3 linked regions of the Mus musculus genome follow. The protein of the gene in region 1 interacts with the protein of each later gene in a pairwise test. Links are inferred from orthologs where the notes say so. Each region holds a gene or a part of one and is shown on either strand. Other genes may lie near its edges.

Evidence for each region.
Region 2: the proteins of AI837181 (region 1) and Csde1 interact in a two-hybrid assay, tested with the Homo sapiens proteins (2 studies listed by BioGRID and IntAct). The link is inferred for Mus musculus from reciprocal best matches to the Homo sapiens genes C11orf68 and CSDE1.
Region 3: the proteins of AI837181 (region 1) and Eif4h interact in binary tests that used the Homo sapiens proteins (3 or more experiments, as listed by UniProt). The two-hybrid records come from large-scale screens. The link is inferred for Mus musculus from reciprocal best matches to the Homo sapiens genes C11orf68 and EIF4H.

What each region holds. Positions count from the first base shown.
Region 1 is NC_000085.6:5,423,780-5,427,822, forward strand, and holds AI837181 (UPF0696 protein C11orf68 homolog), read left to right. Parts: upstream 1-1,364; 5' UTR 1,365-1,389; coding exon 1,390-1,529; intron 1,530-2,157; coding exon of another isoform or gene 2,158-2,171; coding exon 2,172-2,928; 3' UTR 2,929-3,538; downstream 3,539-4,043. Other genes in the region: Drap1 (dr1-associated corepressor), read right to left, coding at 1-112, 403-496, 582-654, 894-935.
Region 2 is NC_000069.6:103,019,231-103,023,353, reverse strand, and holds the start of Csde1 (cold shock domain-containing protein E1), read right to left. Parts: upstream 2,809-4,123; 5' UTR 2,685-2,808; intron 1-2,684. UniProt on the Homo sapiens protein: RNA-binding protein involved in translationally coupled mRNA turnover.
Region 3 is NC_000071.6:134,636,602-134,640,561, forward strand, and holds the start of Eif4h (eukaryotic translation initiation factor 4H), read right to left. Parts: upstream 2,809-3,960; 5' UTR 2,699-2,808; coding exon 2,640-2,698; intron 1-2,639. UniProt on the Homo sapiens protein: Stimulates the RNA helicase activity of EIF4A in the translation initiation complex. Binds weakly mRNA.

The sequences.
Region 1 (4,043 bases):
ACCCTTGTCCCCATCCACGTGGTTGTCCTCCCCATCCCCCTGCATGTCAGGCACTGATGCCACCAAGTCTTTCAAGAAGTCAAACTGCTGCTCGAGTTCAATGCACTGCTTCCTAAAGAAGTGGGAAAGGAAGGGGTTCAAATGGGGCCCCCAAAACACTTAGGGAAGGATACAAACAACTTCTTCGTGTCAGTACAGTGGAACGTTAAAAACACCCCTACTTCCACCAGGCCTCCTGGGAGGGCCGGTGGCTCGGATCTGGTTGTATTCCCTGCACCTGAAACACCTAATCTCTCCTGCATCAGTCCAAATCCACAAAGCTGGCCTCCCTGGGCCTTGCACCACTCCCCCTGTCGGAACTCTGCCTCCTCAAAAGCCCCTCCCAGCTCGGCGGCCACTCACAGGTGGGACGTGGTCATGGTTTTGGCATTTCGAGACTGGGTCACCTGGCAAGCCTTCTTCAACAGGGACTCCAGGAAGAGCTCAAGGGCCCGGGCTGAAGACGTCAAGGAGAATCCAAAAAGGGGAGTGCCGCAGTCCCGCCCCACGCCCCTCAGCCCAACCGGCCCCTAGTAGGATACAGATGATGACAGGCACAGCTGCCGCCACCTTCCCAATCTCTTCGTCCGTCTGCATGATCTTTTTGATCCGCGCCTGCCGAAAGGAAGAGGACAGAGCTCGTCTCTTGCGTCCCTAACACGGGGGACAGAGGGAACCGGGGGTATCCCGGGAGAAGGAGAAGAGGGCGGGGGGCGCTAAGTCAGGAGGGCATGGAAGGGGCGGGGCGTCAGGCCGTGAACACCTAAAGGCACCCGCCCCCCCCACCAGCAGGACCTGGGCCCAAGCCTCCCGGGAGCCCTGCCTGCCGGGGCCCATCCGGGCCACGTGCTCACCGGCGGAAACCGCGCGTTATACTTCTTCTTCTTGCTTGGCATCTCGGGGCCTCTCGTTGCGCCGGGCCCAGCGCCGCCGCCCGCAGCCTCCCGGCCCCGGGCCTGTCCGCCGCCGGCCCGCCGCGGTCCCCCCCCCCACCCTCCCCGGGTCCTGGTGCCGTTTACTCCGCCTACACCACTTCCCGCAGGGTCCTAGTGCCGCCCGTAGACAAGCAGCTCCCCAAACTCGAGCGCTGGGCTTCGGATCCTCTGGGGCGGTGCGCGTCCTTCCCCGGGCTCGCCCGCCACGCCCACCCGCCCCCCAAGCTAAAGTACGAACGTTAGCTCCGCCTCCCGAAGACCTGCACCTCCCGGGATTCTCGCGCCGGCTCCGCCCCTGGACGCTGCCCGCCCCTTCCCCTGGAGCCCCCGCCCCTAGCCTTCTGGTTCCGCCTCTGGCCCCGCCCCGTGACTGTGTTTGTCTATAAAGTTGTTGTTGAGGTGGCGGGACCCTAAGATGGCGGCGGCGGCGGCGGCCGTGGCAGGGGCGGGGCGCGGCGGGGGTGGCGGCGGCGGCGGCGGCGGCGCAGCAGATCCCGGGCAGGAACGGAGCCGGGCCCGAAGTTGGGTTGGCGCGGAACGGAGTGAAGGCCGGAGGTGACTGCGGGGTGGCGAGAGGGACGGCAACCCTTAAGCTGTGGGCACTAATGGCGGCGGATGTGGTAGGGCTGGAGCCTGGTCCTCGCGCAGGCCTGGTCCTATCTGGTTCGAGTCTGGATGGTACCCATTGACCCCCTGATGGGCCGCTGCCCTCTCTGGGGCTCAGAGCCTCGGTGTTTCACGGTGCCCCCAATCGTTCACCGGGGGAGGCCTGGCCCTCTACAGCCATCCTCTGAGGTTGGCGACCCTGCGTTTTGCCTACGTCCATTATATTGCAGCGCCGCGCTACCTTGCAGGACTCTAGTCCGGTGGTGTAGCCGAGCCCCGTGCCAGTTCACACTTAAGCTCTGGCGCTCTTTACGGGCATGACCTTGGGCAAGCCCCTTTTCTTAAGAGTTTCAATTTCCTTGTTTGTAAGCAGTGAAAGTAGTACTAACTATAGCTACTCCACCTCAGGCGTCTTATTCTGGAGACAAATCTAGACAGGATCAGTTGTTACCCATTGTGAAGATGAAGCAACTGAGGCACAGACATTATGTCTTGCCCAGGGCCACAGTTTACTGCAGTGCCTGGCACCCTCCAGGACCCAGCACTTTTTATTTACTGTCTCAAACCTCTGACTCAGTTCCCTCACAACAGGATGGAACCAAATGAGGAGCTGGAAGAGGAAGACTCTCCAGGTGGCCGGGAGGATGGCTTCACTGCTGAGCACCTGGCTGCAGAGGCCATGGCAGCCGATATGGACCCCTGGCTGGTATTTGATGCCCGTACCACACCTGCCACAGAGCTGGATGCCTGGTTGGCCAAGTACCCACCATCTCAAGTTACTCGCTATGGGGACCCAGGTTCACCCAACTCTGAACCTGTGGGCTGGATTGCAGCCTATGGGCAGGGTTACACCCCCAACTCAGGGGATGTACAAGGGCTGCAGGCGGCCTGGGAGGCTCTGCAGACCAGTGGGCGACCCATCACACCAGGTACCCTGCGCCAGCTGGCCATCACCCACCATGTGCTCTCCGGCAAGTGGCTGATTCACCTGTCACCTGGCTTCAAGCTGGACCACGCCTGGGCTGGCATTGCCCGGGCTGTAGTTGAGGGCCGTCTCCAGGTGGCCAAGGTGAGCCCACGGGCCAAAGAGGGTGGGCGCCAGGTCATCTGTGTTTACACGGACGACTTCACGGACCGCTTGGGTGTGCTGGAAGCAGATTCTGCCATTCGTGCTGCAGGCATTAAGTGCTTGCTCACTTACAAACCTGATGTCTACACCTACCTGGGCATCTACCGAGCCAACCGCTGGCACCTTTGCCCCACTCTCTATGAGAGCCGTTTCCAGCTTGGAGGCAATACCCGTGGCTCTCGAGTGCTGGACCGTGCCAACAATGTAGAACTGACCTAATGGGGCCGAGCAGGAGAGACCACCTTTTGCTTGGATCCTTCCTTCTTCTCTTCCTTGTCCCAAGAAGGCTGAGCTCCTTAGCCCTGAGGACTCATTGGCGTGGGAACTGCCTGCACTCAGTCCCTTTGCACTTCTGCTCTCTTTGTGCAGGGCCAACTCCCACCCTCACAGGTTGGGGGCTCTGGCTCTTGGAGGGCGGGGCCCTCGGCGGCCCTCTTTGATGCTGCTCCCCACCACTGCCCAGGACCACAGCTTGGGTGCAGAGACTCGAGGAAGTCTGTCCTGGCCACCTCTGTCCCCACTATACTTAGCCTGCATTCTTCCTTTTCTTTCCTCCCTCAGAAGGGAGAAAACTTAGTGCTTCCAGCCCCTGCCCTTGGCGCCATCATAGTCCAGGTGGCCGGGCCCTTCCAGGACTAAGCATGCTATTGGGACCTGTACATGTTCTGGCCAAGAGGAGACGCAGGGTCATGGACATGGGGTCTGCTCCTCCCTGCAAACTCATAGCCTGCATCACCACCACCCCTTCCCTGGCTACCTTGACATGTGCCTGCTCCTGACATTTCAATAAAACCCAGCTCGGGTCTGTGTCTTGAGTGTTTTTTACAAACACTGTCCTGATGGTTATCTGTGTTGGCTCTCGAGGAAAGATGGGGCCGGAAGAGACAGCTCCAGCCTGAGTGGGCCGCCTTCTCCTCCTCCCTCAGTGGTGAAAGTAGTGTGCTGCTGTGCGGAGGCCAGGCACCATCGCTGAGAACCTCTTCAGAGCTGTTCCCCTCTGTAACCATGGATCAAAATCAGTTTTTTAAGTCTTTCCAGAAAGGCCCAAGGCCTTTTTTGGTATATTCTTTTGGTCCCAAGGTATATTTGTTTTACATTTTATTTTATTAAGAAAGAGTCTCTCTCCCAGCACTTGGGAGGCAGAGGCAGGCGGGTTTCTGAGTTCGAGGCCAGCCTGGTCTACAAAGTGAGTTCCAGGACAGCCAGGGCTACACAGAGAAACCCTGTCTCGAAAAGACAAAAAAAAAAAAAAAAAAAAAAAAAAAAGTCTCTCGATGTAGCCTTGACTGGCCTAGAACTTACTATGTACCTTAGGTTGGCCAGTAACTCTGGGA
Region 2 (4,123 bases), on another chromosome or scaffold:
TGCCCCAGTACAGGGGAACACCAGGGCCAAAAAGGGGAAGTGGGTGGGCAGGGGAGTGGGGGTGGGTGGATATGGGGGACTTTTGGTATAGCATTGGAAATGTAAATGAGCTAAATACCTAATAAAAAATGGAAAAAAAAATATATATCATTCAAAAGGAACTTCCACTATCACCTACCTTGCTTAAAAAAGTACAGCCCTCATAGAGATGTAGTTAATACCACTAAACTTTATACTTCAAAAAAAGTCAAAACTAAGGTTTAGCCGGGCGTGGTGGCTCACGCCTTTAATCCCAGCACTCCGGAGGCAGAGGCAGGCGGATTTCTGAGTTCGAGGCCAGCCTGGTCTACAGAGTGAGTTCCAGGACAGCCAGGGCTATACAGAGAAACCCTGTCTCAAAAAACGAAAGAAAGAAAAACAAACAAACAAACAAACAAACAAACAAAAAACCCACTAAGGTTTACATTACATAAAAATGGAATGACTGAAGGGAGGGTGTGAAAGAAAAAGAAAGCAGTTCATAGTTTTCATTAGCTGGAAACTTACCACAACTTCCAATCATTCCTATAAAGGTCACACTTAAGTCAGAACTTATTTTTATGAAAAAAGAAAACCTATCGTCTGTGCTTCAAATACTCTGCTTTTCCACTCAGCTGCTATAAATACTCATGGTGATGGTAAACATCAGAGCAGCTGCAAAACCAAACTACTACCAGCTCTTTACATTCCAGTTCTAAGAGGAAAAGAAACAAGGACAAGTATTAGATCCAAGGTTCTTTTTGGTTTTTAATATTTTGATACAAGGTTTCTCAATGTGGCCCTGGTTGTCCTAGAACTTGCTCTGCAGATTAAGTTGGCCTTAAACTCAGAGATCTGCCTGCCTCTGCCTCAGAAGTGCTAGGTCTGTAGTGATGGGACTAAAGAAGGGACAGGTAACTACTGCCTAGATTTTATAACTTACATATTCGTGGCTGTTTATGTACACAATCTGCTTCTTATCCACATTAATAATTATATCGCCTGTCAATTTAGTAATGAGTTTGCCTTCTAGTACCTAAAAATCAAGATGATCGACAGGCATGGCAGTAGTACATGCCTTTAATCCTGCACTTGGGAGGCAGGGACAAGCAGATCTCTGTAACTTCAAGGACAGCCTGGTCCACGGAGTTCGAGGCCAGACAAGGCTACACAGTAAGACCCTATCTCAAAAAAAGAAAAGGAAAGGAAAAGAAAGGGGGTGGGGAGGGCAGACTGAGCATTTTGGTAGCTTGAATTAATGCCCTATAATTTGGAACTTATTTTTTTAAAAAGTAGGTTAGAGCAAGCAAGCAGTCTAGACAGCCAGCCATTTCAAGGCTAACCTAGGTTGCACAGTTTAAGGCTATAACCAATAAACAAAAGAAAAACAAACTTGGCAGTTTTGTGAACTAGAAGTTCACATCAGCCTAACATAATGTCCAAACTCAACTACAATCTTTAAACATCCTTAGTTCCTTTCTGCCCGTCCTCCTCAACTGCTTAAACAGCACTATCTTTTTGCTCATTTTAGTTGCAGAACAAGGAAACTAAGTGGTTTAATAATGTTCAGAATGTTTTCTGCAGTGGAAAGTGTTAAGGAGTACTCCCTGCTCACCTGTGAGTCAGGTTGGAGACCAGCCACAAAGGTGTTTCTAAGGTTAACTCTTTAAAGCAAAAGAACCGGGGCACTAAGATTGGGTATGGTTGAAACGTTCGACGGTCAAATCTTCCAATTTAATTTGCTCTCCGACTGGGGCTCTCACACTAGATAGATACATGACAAAGCCAAGCCATTCATTGCACAATGTAGGCCAGCGCTTGCACCACGGAGGGAGGGCATCACGGAACTCTCCTAACGCATGCCATTTACCCCAGACAGAAAGGTGGGAGACACGTGCCTAGAACGGGGCCCGACTCCTTTTTCAAATGCCAAAGGACAGTTAGGTGTGGAGACCCAGCCACAAGAGAATGTGAGTAAAGGTGTCAATTCCGCCGCGCTAGGGTCAGATGTGGCTGAGGGAACAGAGGTGTCCCGCAGCACTTTCCCTAGATGGAACAGGGTCTCAACCCACACACAAAGAAGGCGCCACTGCCGCACTGCGCTCTGGTAGTCGTAGTAGTATCCCCAAAGCCAGTGACGGCCAAGACAGACAAGGTCCCGAAAAAAAGAACAGGCCCTTCTCCCCGGCCTCTTCCAGCTGCACACAAAGGACCGCGCCACCACCCCCTCACCCCTCCCGCCGGGACTTGTAGTTCCCTTTCCCCCGCCAAGCCGCAGAGGGGGAAGAGGACGGACTACAGCTCCCGGCAGCCTTCGCGCCCGAGCCCCGCACCCTCTGCCTCCATCTTGGCTGCGGTCGGAGTTTCCATTTTCGCTCCCTCCCCCCACTTCAGTCACCGACACCGACACCGACACCGCCGCTACCCGCACCCCCTGGCCTCACCTCCTCACTAAGGCTTCGCGGCCGGCCCTGAGGCCGAGACGGTTGAAGCCAGGGTGAAAAAGGGACGCCTGGAGTAGGAACTCACACTGAACTCTCCTCCATCCGGAATTCTAGGAGTGCCCACTCTGACACTCAGAGGTCCCTCCCGTTAACCTGAGTCTCCTCAGCTGTCTTTAACCTGGCTCGTTGCTACCCCCACTTTAACACTGAGGTCGTACTCACCCCAACAGCTCAGCGCCCCCTCTCCAGCGCCGCCATAAGCAGCACGGCCCGGTACGTAGGAATAAATCTCGCTTCTCTCGCGAGAGTTGCAGGCTCCGAGCGCGTGCACGGGAAGGTGGGGGGAGCGTGCTCTTAGTACGCTTGCGCGCGAGGGCTGAGTGACGCCAGCCGCTGACCTGCGTTTAGCCACACGCAAGCCGGTGACTCTTCTTCTCTACGTTCGCCCCTGGGTAGTGCCAGAAGCAATCTCTGCGTTTAGTGACTCTGCTGCGACGCTGGGGGCGGGGCGAAGGGTGAATTTAGGCGTTCACCCGGTGTTCGCGAGCCCGAAAGCTTTCAGCGACGAGGCTTGAGTAGGAAGGCCTTATGAAGTAGGAACAGTTCTGAGGGCAGATCCGGGAGTGTCGTGAATAAAAAGATTTCACTTTCCTCAGCCATAATCCAGGAGTCCAAATCGCAGTTTCTCTTTAGTCACGGGACAGGCTTTCTCCTGTCTCCTACATTAGAAGGGATTTCATTGCTTTAGAGAAAAGTTTTTAACAAAGTAATTTGTAAAGCTTTTGTCTTCCAGAAACTACATTGCTTGCGACAGACAAAAATAAGCGAGGCTGTATTATCAATAAAATCTAAAATTCCCCAAACCACTTTAACTGTCCGTTTCAGTTACCAGAAGATTTTTGTAGTGTGTCAGTCTGAATAAGTATTTAAAAGGCTGAAAGCAGGCTAAAAGCATAATTCACCTGACTGGAGTAGAGGAGTGGAATGGTTAGATCTAACCATTGCAAAGTTATTTAGGCTGCCCTGTCAATAATCTAGAAAACAATTACTTTACTTTTACTATCTTGTTGGTTTTTTATTTTTGTTTGTTTTTTGAGACAGGGTCTCACATGTAGCACATGCTGCCCTGGAACTCTGGGAAATCTGCCTGCTTCAGCCTAGTGGGATTAAAAGTGTGGACAACCATGCCCAACTTCAGTGGTCCTCTTAACCATTTTGGGTAAAGGGTAGCTCCCTGAGGACACTCCCATCTATTTCCTGCTTCTGTGGGAGAGGAGAACATTCTCATCCTGGTGTACTTTCCTTGCGGGGGAGAGACAGGGACTCACCCAGAACTTGCTGTGTAGATCTAGCTGGCCTAGAACTCATGAGATACCCCCCCCCCTTCTCCTGGCCTGGCATTAAAGGGGCGTGCCACCACAACCTGCCAAGTGTACTTCTTACCCATACTTTCAGTTGGTTATTCAGAGAAACTGCAGACCTCTGTAGACATAGGTAGGGCTTTCAGGGGAACAAATTACATGTAATAAAATAAAATAAGCAACAAATATGAATATTGTCCCCCCACTCTGTGTGTGTGTGTGTGTGTGTGTGTGTGTGTATTGGAGACCCCAGTATTGGAAAAGCCAGAGCCATGAGATACCTGCAAAGCTGAAAGGAGT
Region 3 (3,960 bases), on another chromosome or scaffold:
AAGAGCATCAGCTATTCTACCAAAGCACCTACAGGGTGGCTCATAACTCATCCCAGACATCTCTTTAGACACCAGGAAAGGAGACATGCGCAGACAAAACACTCATACCAAAAAAATGAGTAAAGAAATTGAAAAATGTACTTCCATGTGAACAAGCCAGTCAAAATGCCTGGTACCCGTGATGCAGGCCTTTAAATCCAGTGCTTGAAGGTAGAGGCAGGAGATCTGTTTTCCAAGGACAGCCAGGACTACCTACATAGTGAGACTGTATCCCAAAAAAAGAAAACAACTTGAAAATTTCAATTCAAAGAGGTGTTAATAAGTAAAGGGACTTTCAGAACATCTTTTTTTTTTTTTTTTTAAAGATTTATTTATTTATTATATGTAAGTACACTGTAGCTGTCTTCAGACACTCCAGAAGAGGGAGTCAGATCTTGTTACAGATGGCTGTGAGCCACCATGTGGTTGCTGGGATTTGAACTCTGGACCTTTGGAAGAACAGTCGGGTGCTCTTACCCACTGAGCCATCTCACCAGCCCTTTTCAGAACATCTTTAAGGGATGCTTAAAGGAGTGTTAAGAATCGCCAGGCTTGGTGGCGCACGAGCACGCCTTTAATCCCAGCACTTGGGAGGCAGAGGCAGGAGGATTTCTGAGTTCAAGGCCAGCTTGGTCTACACAGTGAGTCCCAGGACAGTCAGGGAGGGCTACATAGAGAAACCCTGTATCGAAAAACCAAAAGTTAAGAATCTCAAATTAGCTTTGAGAGATCATCTAGGTAAATGGCTAACATTTTCATCTGCCTATAAGTATTTCAAATAAGTTGCATCTTGAGAGATTTGAATTTTTTTCTAATGTTTTAAAGTTATTCAAGGGTCTCATTTGTGGCATGTGCTAAGTCTAATGACCTTTCCATCATCATCAAAGGTTGGGAAGTTTGTTCAAAGGCGTTTTCTTCCCCTTTGAGATAAGACCTCACTATGTAGTCCAGGCTGTCTGAAACTTGGGTTTCTCCTGCCTCAACCTCTCTACAGTATGAGGATTCGAGTAGGAAAAAAAGAGCCCCTGAGCACATTTACTTCTTTCAAGTAGAGAAAAACAACCCAACCCAAACTGAGCATGCCGGCTCAGGCCTCTAATCCCACCACTGGGAAGGCAGAGGTGGGCTGAATTCACCTGGTCTGCATGGCGTGTTCCAAGTTGGCCAGAATTACATACACACCAAGACTCTATCTTTAAAACAAAAAAAACAACCCAATGGGACGTTAGTACAAATCCCATACCTAGAAAGCCATCCCCAAGGGTATTCATGCTAACATTTCATCCAACACCTATTTTTATTTTTATTAGCAAATAAAATACGTGTGGCTCCACCTTAGCCCCAACTTCCTCCTTCTGAAAGCATGAAGAGTACCCAGTACACTACTGCAACCAAACAAGACTGTGACTCACTCTCAAACCCAGGTATTTAAAGGTGATCATTCTTCACCTAACAAAAGACACTTTGGGGGCAGCCACCTAGGAAACCCAACACCTCAGTACAACTATTGTGATATTCTCCGGGCAAGTCACCTTTGCTGTAAAAAAGGATAAAAGCCAAGTGTGTCCTTGACAAATAAACAAGACGATTAAATTGTCCCATAAAACTCCTATAAGCTTAAAAAAAAAAAAGAAAAAAAAGCAAGTGGCTGATGCTTGTTTATTTCTATTGTTTGGCAGGAGACTGAATCCAAGATATGCTAGACAATCGCTCTGTGACTGAGCCACAACCCCAGCTGGTAACGTGTTATTTAAAAGGGCACAAACTATCCGGGCGCCCGTTTTTTGGAATTATGCACCAGGAGCTATCTATTCATCAGTAAAGGATTTAGGGAGGTGGGAGGAGGACTGGTTTTAAAGTATGTTGTCTTTATCTGACCGGAATCAGAACGAAGCGAAAGCGATTCCCCAGGTCAGGGAAGAAACTGGGAAGAAATCAACAATCTCCGCCAGCAGACACGTAGTATCTGTCAATAAGGCATTCGAAACGCCAGGGAGGCAGAGAGAAAGAGCCACGCACACTCCCCACTACGGTGGATTTGTTTTGGTTCAGGTCCCCGCTCCCTGTCTCCCTCGCTGGATCCGACGGTCCCAGCATCCAGACTCGAATCGGAAGGGAAATCGCCCCTCTCGCTGCCGGCGGGCCTCTCGCAGAAGCGACCCAGGGGCTCCGCCAGGCAGCGGGGACCCTGGAGAGGGGCAGGCCGCTTCCGCCGCCGCCGCCCGCTTCCGCGCTGCATCCCAGCCCGGAGCGCGCTGGGGAGAAAGCTGGACGCGGCGGGCGGGCACTGGTATCCCCGGGAAACCCTCCGGTGTCGCTGTGATCTAACTTTCCGACCGAGGCCCCGCAGGGTGCCGGGTCCGGGGCCGGCGCGGAGCCGAGGGCAGGATGTGCGCCGCGAGCAAGCGAGAGACCCGCAGCCTAACCGTCGCCAGCCGCTCCCGGAGCGCGCCATTTCCAGGCCTCGCCTCGGGCCTGCTCAGGCCGCTTCCCGCCGCCCGTCTCGAGTGAGCGCGGCAAGGCCGCCTCCCCCTTCGAACCTTTCGGCACTCCCCCCGGCCGAGCCGCTGGCCCGCCTGACCGCGCCCCGCTCGCCTCACCCTCTACCGCCGCCGAAGCTGCTGTAGGCCCGATCGTCGTAGGTATCGAAGTCCGCCATTTGCCGTCTCCGCTCCTTGAGGAACCAGCGGGCCAGCGAGGAAGGACCCCGCAATATAACTCCTCCTCCCCCCGCCCGCCCCGCTACCGGGGCTGTCCGCCGCGCTGCCTGATCGCAAGTCGCACGCACGCATGCGCGCGCCGCCGCGCCCGGCCTTGGGCCGACGGGGCCCGCTGCTGGCCCCGGCGCGCTCTGCGGCCCACGTGGTGCGGCGGCCGGCCCCCGGGGCGCCGCGCGCACGCTCTGCCCTCCCAGGCCCATTGTGTGCTAGCTTGCTGCTTTCACGCGTGGTTGCCTCTTACTGTCCTTGCCCCGCCCTGCCCCGTGGTCACCTACCCCTCGGGCGTTGTCTGTCACCCTGCACGCTGCTTTCTCATTGTCACTAGATTCAGTTTGGGTTTTGTGGAGCCCAGGCTGGCCTGGAGCTGGGGCGCTGTAGCTGAGGATGACCTTGAACCCCTAGTTTTGTTTTTTGTTTTTTTGGGTTTGTTTTTTTGTTTTTTGCTCTCTCCCTTTCTCAAGGGCTGGGGTGACAGTGTGCCACTATGTTGGGATCTCTGGTATCACGTTAGATTTATTAAAGTGCCCTAGGTCTGCCCCACTTGGTCCCACTTGGGCACAATTCTTCAGGACAAATGGTCCCTGGGTAAAGCTAAAAGGAAGACAACCTGTTCTAGGTAGAGGTCCCTAGATGACCAAGGGCAGAAGGCTTGTAAGTGAGAATGGTGTGTGTGTGTGTGTGTGTGTGAACAAGACGAAGTGAAATATCTTTGTTTTTGAGACCTGCTACAAACGACGTGGTGGTAAATATCTGTAATCCCTACTCTAGGAAGACTGAGACTGGTCTCCAAAATAAAATAAAATAAATAAAAAACAAAATAAATCTTATAAAGACAAAACAAATTGTATTCTCTGTCTGGGTATTGGGGAGGGGTGGTGAAGATGAGGCTGTTTGTAGTTGAACTGATAAGAGATTAGATATGTTTTATTTTTGCAGGAGTCTGCTCTGAAAAAGAAATTTTAAGGGTGGGCAGGTGGGCTCAGTGAGTGAGGATGTTTGTTACCAAGCTTGACCTGAGTTTGATCCCCAGGACCCACATGGTAGAAGATGAGTCTCTCTCTCTCTTTCTCTCTCTCTCTCTCTCTCTCTCTCTCTCTCTCTCTCTCACACACACACACACACACACACACACACACACATCTAGCGGGAGGACCAGGTACATAGACCCTGTCTCAAAAAAAAAAAAAAAAAAAAAAAAAAA